Linked DNA regions of Caenorhabditis elegans. The protein of the gene in region 3 interacts with the protein of the main gene of each other region in a pairwise test. Each region holds a gene or a part of one and is shown on either strand. Other genes may lie near its edges.

The links.
Region 1: the proteins of drr-1 (region 3) and F27C1.4 interact in a two-hybrid assay, tested with the Caenorhabditis elegans proteins (one large-scale study listed by BioGRID).
Region 2: the proteins of drr-1 (region 3) and B0034.1 interact in a two-hybrid assay, tested with the Caenorhabditis elegans proteins (one large-scale study listed by BioGRID).

The regions. Positions count from the first base shown.
Region 1 is NC_003279.8:5,420,213-5,424,670, reverse strand, and holds F27C1.4 (uncharacterized protein), read right to left. Parts: upstream 1,886-4,458; coding exon 1,466-1,885; downstream 1-1,465. Other genes in the region: utp-14 (Small-subunit processome), read left to right, coding at 3,113-3,163; erp-44.1 (Thioredoxin domain-containing protein), read left to right, coding at 3,979-4,030.
Region 2 is NC_003280.10:5,965,659-5,974,127, forward strand, and holds B0034.1 (Glycine rich superfamily member), read left to right. Parts: upstream 1-2,837; 5' UTR 2,838-2,845; intron 2,846-2,882; coding exon of another isoform or gene 2,883-3,052; intron 3,053-3,099; coding exon of another isoform or gene 3,100-3,167; intron 3,168-3,211; coding exon of another isoform or gene 3,212-3,310; exon of another isoform or gene 3,311-3,311; intron 3,312-3,360; exon of another isoform or gene 3,361-3,873; intron 3,874-4,444; 5' UTR 4,445-4,452; coding exon 4,453-4,495; intron 4,496-5,306; coding exon 5,307-5,462; intron 5,463-5,938; coding exon 5,939-6,118; intron 6,119-6,317; coding exon 6,318-6,443; intron 6,444-6,545; coding exon 6,546-6,805; 3' UTR 6,806-7,004; downstream 7,005-8,469. Other genes in the region: B0034.4 (uncharacterized protein), read right to left, coding at 2,477-2,521, 2,569-2,837, 2,883-3,052, 3,100-3,167, 3,212-3,310; B0034.5 (G-protein coupled receptors family 1 profile domain-containing protein), read right to left, coding at 7,198-7,308, 7,464-7,548, 7,592-7,713, 7,768-8,072.
Region 3 is NC_003280.10:13,493,599-13,498,504, forward strand, and holds drr-1 (MARVEL domain-containing protein), read right to left. Parts: upstream 2,303-4,906; 5' UTR 2,195-2,302; coding exon 2,114-2,194; intron 2,062-2,113; coding exon 1,972-2,061; intron 1,918-1,971; coding exon 1,711-1,917; intron 1,665-1,710; coding exon 1,518-1,664; 3' UTR 1,448-1,517; downstream 1-1,447. Other genes in the region: ndua-7 (NADH dehydrogenase [ubiquinone] 1 alpha subcomplex subunit 7), read right to left, coding at 664-853, 923-995.

The DNA.
Region 1 (4,458 bases), on a different chromosome or scaffold from region 3:
CTACGAGTTCGACTGGAGTAGTGTCTTCAGTAACCGCGTTGACAAGTGTTCCGACGGTTTCAGCTGCAGATGTGACCATTTCTGATACGGAATTCCAGATGGAGGTTGCATAGGAGAAGTAAGACATTTTGAGAACTTGTGGTTCTGAAAATGAAATAAGTTTTAGTCATTTTAGATAAGGAAAATATGAATAGAAGGGCTGAGGAAACAAACACGCAATTTCATAATCTATTGTGCCAAAAAAGGGATAGTTACGAAATCGAGGTAATATGGAAATCAAACTACATAGAAGAAATTAAGAACATAGAGCCTAGGTAAAAAAAACGACGGACGACTGAACACCCAACGTATGGCAGGCTGCCAAATAGGCGTGACTGTGCACAAAAACGCTCGATCTGATGTAACAGTATACACCTTTGTAATCAATAACTTTCTGGCGGCTAACGAGACCATTTGATTATTATTCCAACATAGTAGAGGAAGAGAAGAGACAATATAGAGTCCCAGAATATGGATCAATATAATAGGTTTTTGAGAGTTGGTCTTTTTAAATTTGGTTTAGAAATAAGTTTCGATAAGTTTTTAAAGAATACAATTTTTAAAATCTTCATATTATTTAAAAATGTAAATCGAAAATAATGAAAGAAGAAACTGTATATATTAGAGAATCGAGTAGTAGTAGTGTTTAGAGAATTAGAGATAAAAAAATACAGTACCCCTATGAGACTCAGTGCAACCTTGCATATGCTCCCCTAAAATCATATGCAACTATTTGGTTTTTTTTAAAATCAAATTGCACAATATTTCGAATTTTCAGCCGAAAGAAAAATTCAAAAATTCTTGCAACTTTTGTTCACAATAAATTTTTTCAAAACTGATTTTGATATAATTTCGGAATAGGGACCACTTTTTACATTTGAGACAGCTCTTTTCGATTTTAAAATATTTAGAAAGGTGTATAATGTCACAAAATATAAGCGAACATCTATCATCTGTGCATATATATGCACTGGCACGGGAGACAGGAACCGAACGGCACATGTGACGAGTTCATTTTGATGTCACAAGCTTTTCCCTTTTTCGTTAAAAAAAAAGTAGACTATAAAAACAAACAAACACTGTTCTAACAAGAAAATATGCAAAAATGAACACGCAAACTGGCGAATGTTGTTCGAGTTGTAATAGGTTGCGAAATTAACCGATAAGAAGCTCGATATTCTGTTATTAATAGATTTTTTACATTAAGTATTGCCCATGATTTCTAACACCTCAAATCCCTGTTGTCTTTGAAATTTCTTGTCTGAAGTAGTTTTTATTGCCAAGGACATTGTAGAATTGATCACGTACGAAAGTTTATTGTGAAACATTGTGAAAACCGGTAAATATTACCGAAAACATGACATAAATTGGACAGTAATATTAAAATAGACCCGAACATGTATAGGATTTCTTCGTTCATCCCAGATCATTTGGAATTCTTCATCCACTCGTAGTTGTTTTGCACCATCTCAAATTGATTGTGCCTGATTGGACCCGTCTCGTCTGGATTCTCATGGATCACTTCCCATTCGATCGATGTATTTGGTGACGATGCTCCTATCGCCTCCTGGTGAACATCCTCTGTCGTCTCCTTTTTATCCTCTTGAAGATCAGACGACGCCGCCGCCGCCCCTTGTTGCTCCCATGAGAAGACTTCAGAAGAAGCCGTGGCATCCTCTGAGCCAGATCCCCACTCGAGAGCAGTCTGACTGATTTGTGTTAGAGCCTGTGTTGCTCCTTCGGCAAGTGCAGAAGCTCCTCCAACAAGGTTCGCTGCCTGTTCTGTGACTGCTGGGACGACGGTTGTGGACATGAAGGTGTAGAGTCCATTGACGATGGAGTTCATTGTTTAGTTGTAGTTTTCTGAAAAAAAATAATATATACAAAGAGACAAGTTAGACCGGCAACGGAAGGAAAAAAGAATGAAAGTGAAAGTTCGAACGGAGTAGGATTTACAACAGGATTGACTTCATAAAAATTTAAATCAAGTGCATGTATTTTATCCTAGTGTACTATCTGCCTAGATTTTTTGAATCTAGGTGTAATATTTACGGAAAAAAAAGAAAATGAAGAGACAAAGTAGATATATCTCCGATGTGCTCTTTCTACCACCAGAATGCGAATGGCAACTAATGACTAGTAACAGAATAAGAAAGACGAGAAGATGAAGAGGAACGCTGTGTTGTCCTTACGTTCTTCCTATGTCTCTTTCTCTTTTCTCGTATCGGACAATCCCTCCCCTTAGATGTGTGCGCGCGCGCTGCTTCTCTCTCTCTATTCACGTTTATGAGAGAACGAGTCATATTATAGATTGTGTATGTTGGTTAGAATGAGACGCAGGAAACCGAATGCTCCCAAACGGGTGCAGGTCATCTTTTTGTGTAGAGGTTGGTGGGTGTTCATATAGATCGGAGAAAGAATGACGAAAAATGATTGACAAGAGAATACATATTTGGATTGGCTCACACCTGTATTAATTGAAGAAGATCAGTGAGCTAGCGAGGAAATTTGAATAACTTTTAAAAATAGCAAGAAAACTTCTAAAGATTATCATTGAAGAGGAGCAATTTTCTAGACGTTTTAGTTACAGTAATCCCTGTGTTACAGCAAATCTTGTCTCCTCTTCCAAAAAACCATTACAGTAATCATAAATATTGGAATTATTTGAAATCAACCAACAAAACTTGCAATTGAAAATTGTTAGAATCTATTTAGAAAGAAATAAAAACATCAAATATATGTTTACACCATGACGAGTCACTAAAACTAATCGAGTTGTTGACTGAAAGTAATTCAAAATCATCGTTCGGCGCCGTACATTCTGCTGGGTTTTCACACGTTCCTATTACATTGATAAGAACTTGAAATGTTTCAAAACATTGTTGAAGCTCGAAAGAAAATCGATGATGTGTGTGTTGCTTCTAGGGACAGCTTTTCCTCACTCAGCTGTGAAATGCTCTTCTTCTCCTTCTCTTACTTCTTTTCTCCAACTATTTTCACATTTTTCCCCTCATGAGTTACTAGACACAAATTTTGAATAAAATTTCTCTATTTATAATATTTATATTTTCAGGCTGGAAGAGCTATTCGTCCAATCAACAAGAAGCATCTACTCGGAGAATAATTGGAAGAATTGTTAATTTTTTGTTGATTTTTTAAAAAAACTTTATTGTTGGTTTTCTCTCTTTGAAGTGTCACCTGAAATGTTCGTTGTTGTTAATTTTATATGTTTTCTTTACGGTGAAAGTTTAATTGAGACCATTTTCTCATTATTTTCTCAATTTTACATTTCCTGTAATTCTTTAAATGAAAAACAAATTTTTTAAAAAATAATTCAATTATAATCAGTTTTTTCGTTATGGTGGATATCCCCAGCAATTTATTTGAAATTTGAAAATATAATTTTTGTTGTTAAAATAATATTTTGAAAAAGTTGGCAACGAAACCCAAAGTTTTGAAATTTTGAAATAAAAATCTCAAAAAAATGTCTGCTTTTCGCTTTCGAAAGTATTTAAAATTTAATTTTTTAGGGTATTTCTCTATTTAATCATGTCTCATTAAAATCAACATTAAATATTGAACTATTCTTCATTTTTCCAGATATTTTCTAGAATTGTTTTTTTTTATTTTTAAAAACATTTTTTGTCGGTTAAAAACCACTAAAGATTTTGAAAAAAAAATTTTCCATACTTCAATTTTTTAATAAACGAAAAATTTGGTTTAAAAAAATCTGAAAACACTGCAACAACAAGTTTTTCTGACAAATTTCTCACAAGAACCTGCACCTTCACTATTTTTGAGAAAATAAACCCCAAAACGTTTTTTTTTTCGATGTTCAGTTTTAACCAAAAAAAAAAGGTTTTGATTTTTTTAAATTCGAACAAAAATTTATATTTTTCGGTTTTGAAAGAAGAAGTGAATCTCGGTGATCAGCACGGAATGGCACATGCTCTCAGAGAGATACAAGCACACAGTATTCTCATGAAAAATCGTTTGTAAAGCTGCCCCATCCACGCCCAATTCTCATCGCCAGTCAGCTTTTTCTCCACTTTTCGTTTGCTCTTTTCCGTGTGCTCACTCACTCACCCTGCGCCTCTTCTGATTCAGCGTCTGTGTCTCTTATAATTCAACACTTTTTCCACTATTTTTAATACCCCGGGCGGTTTGTGTGACCAATGCTGGCCAAAAAGTACACGTGTCTTTTGCCGTTCTTTTAAATTTGAATATGCTGCATTCAGACATTGATTTTTATGTTTTGAGAAATGTTTTACAACGTCTTACCCTTTCTAAACCCTGCAAAACGCCATTTTCCGCACTAAACTAACTGATGATGAATATGCGTTTACAACCAATCAAAAACATTCGTTTTGAAACAGACCAATCAAGAAACTCTTGAACTTTTTGTTTTCCTATAGATCG
Region 2 (8,469 bases), 7.5 Mb from region 3:
CCTATAGTCCTTTGGGGAAGTTGTTGGAAGCTCGCCGCCACCCAATGCCTGAAGGCTCGACGAGCTGGAACAAACCGAAAGAAAAACGGGGGAGAAGAAGAAGGAGAGAAGACCATCGTTGTTTTTAAGACTCAAGAGAAGAGGCTTCACACAAGCACACCTATATAATTGTTCAGTCATGCGTACCTCCGGCCCGCCAACTATTTATTTTTGAGAGTACTTCTACTGTGTCAGGCAGGCCTTTCACTTTTTGAGCATAAAAGGGGAGTCTATATGAAAGTGAAATGGAGGGTTGGTTTAGTATTAAAATAAGCAGCCCAATTACATGCAATGGCTATCGGCTCGTCGACGGCTCGGCGGGGATACTCTTCTATTGGGTTATTAGAGAGAAGTTTTTTTATACGAGAGATAGACATTCGGAGAACTATTGAAGAAATCAAATTTAAAAGGAACTGCTTCGAGAAACTCTAATTATTTCCGGTCACTTCGAAAGCGCTTGTATGAGGGAAAAATTGGCTCACATTTGGATCTTGTTTCGGAATTGAAAATTTCATAACGAATCCTTCAATTTTTCATGGCATGTAACATCAAAAAAATTTAACAAGTGGTTTTATAGTCTCTAAAATTTTCGCATTTTTATGCCACACTCGTGTTCATCAAAACAATTAAGCATAGTTTCAGAAAAGGATTACTATTCAAGTATTAAAATTCAACATTTGTATTTTGCTAAATTCTTATGTTATTTACAGAAATATCTAACTTAATTCCGAAAAGAAAACAGCAAATGGTTGTCATTATATAATTATTTAAATTTTTTACAAAGGGTTTAAGATTTTTCAGAACACAAATTTATCGTCAGAGGAAAAAGCTTTCTTTCCCCAAAAATGTTCAAAACAACTCAAACAAAAATATGTATCAATTGAAAACATAACTTGCAACATTTTTGGAAAGCTTCAGATCAATCTTAACAACAAATACTACAATTTGAAGGATATATAAGAAAAGGGACCACCAAAGAGACCAAATGGAAAGAAAGGACAAATGGGAAAAGGTTTCATGGCTTTGGAAGAGGAGAAAGAGTGCCCAGACATACGAATTCGCGCACGCATGGACCGACGGCTCCGGATGTCAGAAGTAGAGAGCACGAGACGCAGACAAGAGTTACGAAATATTGGGGAGACAGTGCGTGAGAGGAAGAGACGCAGAGTGAGTTGCTATGGGAGACCCCGAGGACCTCATTTGTTTTTTCAAATTCCTGCGAAGGTCGGATGTGGAAAATTTTAGTTTGATTGGATTGTTTTTCGAGAAATTCGAGACACTTGATCTTCCACTTTTTCTTCATCAAAAGAGGTCATATTTCATTTTATTGCATTTGTTGAGGGTGGAAATTGTTCCTGCAGATGACTATTATCTACATCATTCAAAAAATGACAAAGTTACGTAATCGGGAAATGTGTGATTGACAGAGTTACGCTGAGATTTGAATAGAAGAAGTGGTAAACATCAAAGCAAAACCTCTTAAGTTTTAATTGGATATAGGTCTCGAATATGTATTGTGTGGTTTTTCAGAAGATTTTTTTTTTAAATTGTTGTATTTTCCAATTCAATTGATTTTAAATTTTAATTTTCTGATTTTTGTGTTAAACTCGGCGCAACTTACTATTATTAAAATTTCTCAGAAGACGATTTAAATTGTATATATATATAAATAGCTTTTGTGTGGCCATTATTTTGAAACTCCATTTGAAAAAAATAATGTGAATAATTTTTCTAACCTATAATTACTGAATGTCAAATACCCATCGAAGATATCAATCTGATTTTGAAACATTATTTTTAAACTTTTCATTCAATCACGACTAACTATTAAAACATGAGTCGAATAACACATACACCGATCATCAAACACCATATTTCTCTCTCGCAACTTGAGCCAATATGAGCATGAACCGATGACAGATGGCCCTGCCATTTAGGATAACATCGTGAAGCGTCAAAGCATAAATGTGCTCTCAAATGGATAATCGGTGATGACTGAAGTGTGTATGTGAGACAGAAACATGGAAAGATGGAAATAAATGAATAATATTCTAATAATCTCATATTTTCACTATTTATCTTGCTTCGCAATGTTCATCATGGTAGCTCACCTCTTGGTTGTTTCTGGGGACCAACTGGGAGAACAGTTACAAATATATTTTAGATTTTTACTGTTTGCCAATTGGTTAGGTTGATGCTGTTATGGGAGACGCCACCATCGTCGCCTTCCGATTTTTGAAAGCTGATTCCCGAAACTGTAGCCTCCTTTTCGATCTGATTGTGAGTTATGAGTTCTTCAATCGATTCTCGAAGTTAGAATTTATTTTTAACCACGAGAAATCAATGAGATTTACAACAAGAATACAGCAAACATTTTATTGACTTAATCGTATTCAAAGGGCAATACATTTTTATTCGAGCTCATTCCTTCGTTGATTCATTTCGGATTGACATCTTTTTCTTTTTCGTTGACAGAAGCTGCCTGTAACTATTTTTATTTTTTATTTTGAATATCAACAAATCACTCACATCTTCATAACTGGGACCTCCTACTTTCTGAATCGATGGAGCATCATGAAGTGTATCATCACTTTTATCATTGATTTTTCCTGGTTTCAGAGCATTACGATGGCGTGCAGTTGGAGTTCGAGCAACTGGTTTTGGCGATTTGGCCTTCACAACATGATTGTCTGGATGAAGTTCTGGTTCAGTGTCAGTCAATGGTTTTTCAGTCAATAATTCATTCGCGTAAATCGATCCTTTTCGAATTGGCTTATGAACCGATGGCATTTTCTTCTCTGAAACGGTAACTAATTATTTCATACTTGTTTTTTAATTCTTACCATCTTTAATATGTTCCGAAACTAGCGGTGGTCCCTGAGCTACAGATCTTTCCGTTTTTTTGGTTGTGGCCACCACCTTCTTTTCCTTCTTTGGAGTAGGAGCTGTAGGCACGGTGGAGTTTGAGATCTTGGGAGATGGCTCAATATTTGACATCGCCTCAGCCTTGTCTCTAAAAATATTAAGATTTGTTGAGCGCTCACATTTCAGATAACTCACTCGTTCAAAGAAGCTTGTTCGAAAGCTGTCACTTTCACTGGTTGCTTATCTTCCACAGCTTTTTTCACCTAAAAACATTATTTTTGAATCTCAAATCATAATAGCTACTTACGGCTGCAGGCTTGGCTCTCTCGCTGGGCTTTTTGGAGAAAGCAGAACATTTGACGATGATTGTGCTAATTAAAACCAAATGAGCTGTTAGAGATAACATTCTGTAATTGCCAAGTGTATTTCTTAAGAAAACAAGAAAATTTAACTCACATACGAAACTATCAAAAGTGACTTCGTAATTTTACAAAATGATGGCTTTTCTGGATTTGTTCCCTTCACGTGTAGAAAGAAACGAGCAAAAAAAATCTTAGTGTTAGCTTTTTAGTTTTCACGGTGAATATGGATATTTTTAATGCTCAAAAAAAAAATATTGAACATGGTTTCAACTTTAACATTGTTAATAGAATCAGATTGATTAAATAAATCTTAGCATAAAAAAACCAATGGGCATACCTTCCTTGGACTTTTTTTTAACAAACGATCTTGTTTACTAATCATATTCTATTTCCCATCATTCTAGAATCAGCAAAAAAAAGTGTGAAACCTGGTGTTTTTAGTCTCCCAAACATCCAGCCTCCAAGTCATCTATCTCCACCTTCTTCTCCTCATTTCAAATTCCTTTTCAATCTCGTTGTTTGTAAATGCAAATTGGGGCCAACAATACAATAGGTGTAAAATGGCATCAGAAGTAGTAGCAGGGGAGGGCAGTCATTCTCTTCTTCTCTGCCCCTTTCACAGCCTTCAATCAGTTTCAGTTTGTATCGTCCATCATTTTCGAGAATACGAGGTGACCAAGGTCAATTCCTTCGGTCCGCCTTGTTTCGTTACATGGTTTCATAGCGAATACTTTTCATAAAAGTGACCAAACCGCTCTTCTACATTTTTTTCTCGCTTCTTCGTCCAACTGAAAGTGATTTCTTTCAATTTATACTACTTTCATCTTATTTAGTACAGATACTAGTATAACTTTTTCCTTTCAATTTCATTTCGCTCATAAAATTGGCTGACTTTTCAGTTATAGTTTTGAATCGTTTCAATGCTTTGACTTCAGTCCAAATTAACTGATTAAAAGATTCAAATTTTTTTAAAGTAAAATTCTTTCTATTTTACAATTGAAGTTATTTTAGAATTTCATTTTTCTGAGTCAATTTTTTTGCATCTGAAATCTAAATTTGAAAATTTTGAAACTATAGAATATTATGTAGTTTTTCTAAAACTGTTATCTTATTTTCTAGGTTTTCAATTTTGCTGTTACATATTAAAAGTATTAAAATTTAAAGTTGAACATTTTCAGCATCAAGAATGAAATCAACACTTCTAATACTACTGTTATCAATCAAACAAGGTACGTATCTTCATATAATTTTCCTCCCGAATCACTATTGTCTTCACTCTGACATCACTTTTAAGACAACAACAGTCACGTTATACACTTAATGATGCTTTTCCTTGTTAATCTCTGAAACCACCCACACCTTCCCAATTTGAGAGTGACAAGAAATTCATTTGTTTGAAAGTATAAACGAGGTTGTAATGAGTCAGGCACTCTTTGAACAATGGAATAAAGAATTCAAAAAGGAGGCAAAAATGTTGTATGTGTGTAATGAATAGATGACCGTAACAGAGGACAAAACACATGATCAGAAAAGGGGGTAAACGGGTGAAGCAGACAGTTTGGCGGGTGGGTCTCATATGATGGCTAATGGGGAGTGTGTGTGTATTTTAAAAATCATTGAAACAAGATCTTCTGAAGCTTTCTGAAGCTTCTGAAGCACAAGGAAAATCACCAAATTTTTGAGAAATGCTGCATTTTTTTTTGAGAAATGCTGCATATTCAGAAACTTACAACGTTCGAATTAGGATCGCAAAAAATTAAAATCGAAATTATTTGCAAATTTTCTTTGATCGGCTTCCAAAATCATGTGTGGTCAAAAGTAATAGAAATCAATTTCCACTTTTTGACTCTATCTGTAAAGGAAAAATTTCAGTTTTTTTTAAATATTTTTCAATACGGTATTCATCCATTTTATCACCCTATAAGTAAAATTATGGTTTTTCAGCTTTAAACTAAAGAGTTAGATCAATAATACAAAAATTTACTATTGAAATTAACTATTGACCTCACTATAATTCACTCGTATTATTCAATTTTACAGGCTCTTCTCAAATAAATCTCGGATCATTCTTTCTCCATCCTCAGCAGAACAATGGCGGCTTCGACATGGGAATGGGACAAGGAGCAAATATTTTAGGATTTGGAGGTGATCGTAGCTTTAATTTAGCTGGTAACAGAGCTGGATTTGCTTTGGGATGTGAGTATTAACACTTTTAACAACAAAATTGCAAAACTCTAAAGACTAAGAACTCTTCGTGTACAGATTTAATAACGTAGGCCTGGCTGCATGCCCAATCGGTAAATTGTTATATGTTGAATAGCTCCTACTGCTCGAAAGATGACCGAGTCATTACAGTTTTCTTTTGAAAATGTGTTGATTACTGGCTTACTATTAGATTCAAACCAAGGTTTTGAAGACTTCCCATTACTTTATATGCGAAGTTATTTTTAAGTTGTACCCAACTTTTATTTTTATAATTGATTTAGCATGTATTAATTATTAAAAATTTAACAATCTTACTATTAGTTAGATATAATTATTTTTTTTATTTATAATTATAACATTTTTTAACAGTATGGACTTCTCAATCTAACTTTCTTTTCATTAATAATTTTCATTTAAATTTACTGTATTTTGCCTTTGATGTAATATTCAATAATTTCCTTTTTCAGCTAATAATGGAGCTCTTGTCGGCGGACAACGTGTTGGAGTTGATGGGGGAATTGGTGGAGGACGTGAAGGTGTTGAAATGGGAAGTCAGGTGCAATTTGGAAATGAGCCAAATCCTGGTCATCCAGCCGGACAGTTTGGAAGTTTTATGGATAATGTCAAAAACTTTTTCTCATTTTTGGGTAAGTTTGACTATAGGAATTTTCTGGAAAGCAGAAGCTAATCGTTCAAAAGGAAAATCATCTGTTCATAAAGTTATCTTGATCAAGCATCAATGTCTTTGTTTTCCATTTCAAGTTTAACACGTACATCATATGAACTTTGAACATCTATAATTCTTCTTTCTCTGGAACTTTTTCTATCTTAAATAAAAAATTACAGGTCGTGGAATGCCAATGCCCCCTCAACAACCACCTCCATCACCTCCATTCTCATTGGGAGTCACTCGTCCACCAACTTTAATTGGTACTGAAAGATCTGAAAGTGAAAATGGAGGAAGACATAGACGTATGTGATTATATATTTATTGAAACAGTGGGGATTTGTTAAAACAGGAGCTCTATGTTTTTTAAATTTGTTTCACATTCCTTTCACACAATTTTCTTTCAGCTCGCCCATGGTTCCCAGAAGGTGAACAAATTCCAGAAGTAACTGGAGAAATGAGGCCAAAAGAAGGAGAAGCTGGAATTTCTTCATCATCCTCTTCCTCTTCTGAAACTGAATTCATTGGGCCAAACAATGGAGAAATCCCCAGAAAATCTGTCGAGTTCAGTATCGATAAAGAGCCAAGAGAGGAGTTCACTGAGGATTTATTCACGGCACAAACAAGTCGACCACGAGAGTTGCCAGGGCTTATAGAGTTTGCCTAGATTATCTTAATTCTCCCATCTTTATATATTTTCTCAAACATTCCCTTACATAGATTTTCATGACCTTTCTACGGGTTTTGTAAATATTTAAATAGTTCTTGATCTTTTACGCTGCCCTTTTTGAATAATTTAAGTTGAATTGTCAAAAAAATTGCAGAATCACAGCTTTATGAATAAATCTTTATGACCAGCAACAAAAATACGCAGTGAACTATGAAATGGTATTGTTACGCAGAAAGAATCACATCTTATGTGACGTCATGCTTACACTTGAAATTTACATATTTATAAGAATTTAGTCACAATTGTGAAAAAAACCGATGACCCGTTGATCATTTGGAATTACAAATCACAGTTAAAACAATTGAATTACATACATAGAATTGAAACTATTAAACTAAAATCTTTGCAATCAGAGAAAAGGTTTGATGCATCTTTTGTTGATGTTCGCTTTTATGAGTGAATGACTTTTTTACAGCTCTTCGAAGCTCCGGATTGCACAGCTGAAATGAAAAAAAGTATGAGTTGATTTTGTGTTACAGTTTATATCTCTAAAGAAACATCTGAAAACATTTGCAACGTCCCGTTTCAGCCAGTAAATTTGAGGATTGTTACAATAAAATTTCGAACTGACAAATTCAAATTTATAATCACTTACCATATATATTGGGAGTCGAAGTGCACAAGCAGTCACTACCAGAACTGAAGAAAGATCAGCGGATAACATGTACTCTTCCAAGAACCTGAAATGTTTTTATAAATTTGAATAGTATTTTCCAGTACTACCGTGTTTGCAATGACTCAATATCAATGAATTCCCAAGCGGTGATGAACACATTCACTACGTTTGATATCAAATAAATGACACAAATGAATAGCATTGTGGCTGTCGCCTGACGTACGTTTGTCTGAAATATTTCTTTGGAAATTAATCAAATCTGATGTTTTCTGTGATGACATACCCGACTCTGCATTCTCAATGAAAATCTTCTTCTTGATCTATTCCCAAAAGCGTGTTGCATTTGAGATCGAAGCTCCAGGACAATTCCAAGATTTATTAATAAGAGAAGGGCAAATGGAAGAAACACAGTGGCAATGTTTCGAATCCAAAACTTGTAAATTGTACCATACCAAACAGATTTTGTAATATCTGTTACATCTACATAATACTCCATTACTGTATTTTTGCATGAAGGATCTTCATTTGGAAACACATCAAGCTCTATGAGCATTCCACCTTTTGTTAGTACTCCAAGGGAAAGGCATGCTGAAATAATAAATTAGTTTCAATGTGAAGTTTTTTTTTTTTAAATTTCAAAATATGTACCGCAATGTGTCGTAGAATGTTTAAACTGAAAAATTAAGCTTCTCTTTATTTTTGTAATTAGTTTTTAAATTTTGATTTTCACTTATCAAAAATTTGTGATCTCGATAATTTTTGAAAAATTCAATTTCCTTGAATTTATAAAATCGTATACCTTTAAAATTTTCCTAATTGTACATTAGGAATTAGGAATCTGTAGAGTTGCCGAAAATTTTCAATTTAGGAATTTAGGAATTTAGGGTCTGAGCGGTCTTTCTAATCTTCCGAACACGGCCTATTATTTTATCAAACGTTTTTTTAAGACTTTTTTGTTTCACATTTACATTTTCTTTCCTTTATC
Region 3 (4,906 bases):
AATATCATGATAAAAAAATTTTAAAAATTTTTCTGGATTTTATATGATTTTTTGAAAATTGAAAAAATCTCAGTTTTCCCCCCTAATTCCTATTTGAATTTCCGCCAATTGAACTCGTTCGTTGGAGCGCGCTTGCATTATTTTCGTTAATTTTTTAAAATTTATTTTCATTATTTCACTGATTTTCTTTATTTTTTGAAGGTTTTTAATCGGAAAATGAAAGAAATAAACAAGAAAAATGCAAAATTTTTATTAAGAAGTAACTGAAAATGGCTAAAACTCTGATTAATACTAATTTCAGGCTCGTCGTCGTCGGATCGCATAATAGGCATTTTCGGCTACTTTTTAATAAGGACTGTGAATTTTCTTGCTTATTTCTTTCATTTTCCGATTAAAACCCCAAAAAAATAGAGAAAATCAGTGAAATAATGAAAATAAATTTTAAAAAATTAACGAAAATAATGCAAGCGCGCTCCAACGAACGAGTTCAATTGGCGGAAATTCAAATAGAAATTAGGGGTGAAAACTGAGAATTTTTCAATTTTCAAAAAATCATATAAAATCTAGAAAAAACTTTTAAATTTTTTTATCATGATATTCGGTCATTGTGGTACCAAAGGCGTGATTTAAAGCAATTTCCCCACAGGGTGGAATTTTTTGAACCTTGTCAAGTAATAATTATCAGCGAGCTTGTGATGAACACCTCCTGGAAGAGCCGGGAGCTCTGCGGAGCAAGGACGAGCGGATTGGGTGTTTGGGAAGCGGAGAGGGTTCTGGTAGACTGCTTTTCCGTCCGGGCCGGCGATTCCTGGTGGCGGGGTGATGGGGAGTCGGTCGGAAGCCAACAGCTTTTCTGGAAATTTCTAAATTTTCATTAATTTGTTAATATTGGAGCGCAAAAAACGGAAAAAGAAAAACTTACGCTTAAGCCAGTTCCAGAATGGCGTCTGGGTGCGATTTTGAACAGTGGCCGCCGCAATTTTGCGACCGCTCATTGTCGGTCTGGAAAATTTATATTTTTATAAACAAATTGGGAAGCTTGGCTTAGAATAAATATATATTATAAACAAAACGAGCTTTTCTCGATTTTTCCAAGAAAAAAACTGGAGAAAACTAGCAATTTAGAAGAAAAAAAACCATTTTTCTTCAAAATAGCATTTCTCAGCCAAATTTTGCTCAAATCGATTCGGATCTGGATTTTCGACTTAAAATAACTCTAATAACAAGCTTAACTGATTTTTCAACAAAATTATCCATAAAAAATCACGGAAAATCGATAAAATCTGAAAAGAAAGCGATTAAAAAGTAAATAAATAAATGACCGGTCGTCAGTTGGTGCATTTGCGCGTCACGGTGTTTGCACACAATGCATCACATTTTACGGGCAATGTGCCTATGGTAATTAATTTATATAAATAAACATGATTTTATAGTTGAAAGTCGGGCTTTTTAGAGTCAATAAAAGAATAATTTATTGTGAAAATAAGCAAAAAAGAAAAATGAATAAATCTACAAAATCACAAGTCTTGATAAGCATTAGAACGGAATGGATGTGCTGGTTCGATCACAATATTCTGACGTTCGGTATCCGAAGTTGTCTGTACCTCACGATAGATTACAGTACATGGGACAGCGTAGAAAATTGTTTGTACGATGAAGAAAACCTGAAATTAACATATATATTGCCTAAAAATCCCCCTTAAAACCCACCCCAGCAGCAATATATCCCGCAGAAGTGCCGAAAAGCGACCGATTCGCGAACGAAAACGAAAGCCAGACGGAAATCACGGAGAGGACCGCCAAAATAAAGGAATACACGAGCTCCACGACATTCCACGCGATGCTTCCATTCGAAATACTCTCCATGAGCTCATCCTGAATCCGCAGGGCGAAGATTACCGTTGCCGCCGCGGAAATCTGGAAATTCAGGGGGTTGATGGGGGTAAAAATTTAATAAAAGGATAAACTAACAATTAATTGAACAATTAGAGTAAACCAAAGAATCCCATTATCCCCGGAAGCCGTCGATCCAATGCAAACCGCCAGAATTACAGCGTTAATCTGAAAAATTGAACATGGTGCATCGGGAAATTAAAAAAATCAATAAACATACCGCTTGCAATGGCTTAAAATAGTGTGGAAGTTTGAGAAAAACGTTATCCTCATTTTCGAATATGTTTCCAAGAGTTTGCATTTTTTTTTAAATTTTGTGTTGCAAAAAAAATTCAGCGAATTCGAAATTTTATCGATTAAAACTGTAATAATACGTGCACAGTGATTCTGTCTGTTGTTGTGCTCACACACGTATCTTATCAGTAAACATTATAGTTCACATGATTTGGGGGTTATTGTGTAGTTTGTAGTGTATTATTGGTGATAGAAATACGGTTCCCGGGGTCTCGACACGACAAATTTTTGTTAGATGCGAAAAGGTGTGTGCGTCTTTAAAAAGAGTACTGTAGTTTAAAACTTTTGTTGCTGCGGACTTTTTATTGAATTTTTTTAAATTTAGGTTTTTTTTAAAGTGATATGTGATTTTTTTTTAATTTTACAGATTTTTTTCGAAGTTTTACAGATTTGTTTACAAATTTTACTGATTTTTTTTCGAAATTTTGCAGATTTTTTTTTCGAAATTTACAGATTTTTTTCGAAATTTTGCAGATTTTTTTCCAAATTTTCCAAATTTTTTTTTGGAAATTTTCCAGATTTTCTGTAAATTTTTAAGATTTTTTTTCCAAATTTTACAGATTTTTTTCCAAATTTTACAGATTTTTTCCAAATTTTACAGATTTTTTTCCTGATTTTACAGATTTTTTTCCAAATTTTACACATTTTTTTTCGAAATTTTACAGATTTTTTTTCCAAATTTTCCAAATTTTTTTTTGGAAATTTTCCAGATTTTCTGTAAATTTTTAAGATTTTTTTCCAAATTTTACAGACTTTTTTCCTGATTTTACTGATTTTTCCCAAATTTCCGGATTTTTTTGTACAATTGCAGATTTTTTTTGTAAATTTTAAATTTCTAAAAAATCGAAAAAAAAATTGGCTGAGCTAAAAAAATGTTTATTTTTTTTTGGAATTTTGAAAAAAAAAATTTCAATTTTTTGTGGTAAAAACATTTTTTCTGTTAATCTCAGTGAGCAAGAACTCATTAAAAAATTATTTGTAAAAAAATAAAATTGGCGGAAAAAAAATTTCTTTAAAAAATTTTCAAAAAAATTTTTTTTTCAGAAATTTTTTTCCAAACTTTAACCAAATTTCTCACAAAGACTGAGATTTCTGCAAAAAAGGAGGAAGAAGACGACGATAATCAACTAATTAGCGAGACGACGTCACAGTAATTTGAGTAGTTGACTGCAGAGCAGAAGCAAAACAGAGGTGGCTTAACTTATTCTCACACGTTTTTTTTCCCATCTGAAAGTGTTCATGGTGCTCCATTAGAGTGATGGCTCAGCACGTGTGTGCTCATTTCTCTTTTTCAAAATATATCCCTTTCCTTTTCAATCATCATCAACTTCCTCTTATCACTTGGCTCTCATTGAGTCAAAAATTCCCATTTTTCCCAAATGTTTCTCTCTTTTTCATGTTTTCCTGGTGTAAATGTTTAAATAAATTATATTTAAAAATAATAACGTTGCGAAAAAAAAAAATTTTTTTTTAATTTTCGAAAAAATTTTTTTAAAATTTTTTCTTAGTTAGCATTTTTTCACTTAAAAATGCAAAATTTTACCTTTTTTATTGTGTTTTATACGCATTGGGCGGTTTTTTGCTATGTGGCCGTAAAAAAAAAATAGGAAAAATCGGTGGCCGAGTTTTCTGATCGTGGCCGCGAAAATACGAAAACACGGCCACAGTGCAATTTTTAAAAATTGGCTTCTCAGAACTGTTTAAAAAAAACTAATCCTGCTTTTAGTGACCTTAAAAAGCTACAAATCTATAAACAAAAAAACTCGGCCAACAATTTTTTCCGCGGCCATGTCTCAAACTTTATTCGCAATGCACCATGTTTACGCACAATTACGCAAATTTTTTTGTGAATTTCTTAACGTGGCCTAGAAAATGGGAAAAACTCGGCCACCAATTTTTCTTTTGCGGCCTGGGACGAAAATTCCCTTCTGTAAATAGTTAGAAAATTAGAATACGGAATTAGAGAAAACATTTTGCAACTTGGCCTTGAAAATGGGAAAAACTCGGCCACCAATTTTTGAAAATACAGTTTAGTACGGTCCGTTTCACCAAGTGACCGAAAAAAAAAGAAAAATCGGCCACAAGTTTTTGCCATTTTTAATTTTGGTTACGTGGCCGAGAAAAAGAAACCTAGGCCACGCTATGAATCCCGTCCAGTACACTGGGTTTGACTATATGACCTAGAAAAGTCCAAAACTCGGCCAAAAAAAATTCGGCCACGCTGGATTTGACTACGTGGCCTAGAAGAGTCAAATACTCAGCCATCAATTTTTGAAAATGCAGTTAAGAACGGTTTATTTTACTACGTGGCCTAGAAAAAAACTCGGCTACCAACAATTTTCCGCGGCCACGCAACTATTGGGAGCTAAGAAATCGAAGAAATTATGAATTTTCTCTCAATTTTTCAACTTTTTTTTTCCAAAACATGCAAACTAATTTTTGCTCAAACTAGACACAAGTTCATCTCAATTTTTTGGCTCAGTTGCTCTCAAAAGAGCAACTTTCATATGACATTCGATAAATAAAGCATTTTTTTCTGTTATTTTGAACTTGAACTGAACTTTTCAATTTTCTTTTACGTCTAGACCCGGCTCCTTTGAGCATTCAACTTCTGAACGTGTTCATGACGTCACGCTTAATTAAATTACGTTTATTTTCGTGTTTTATGTTTTTTCTGGTCACACATGGCGGGAAAATTGTTCTGGAAAGTTTTCAGATG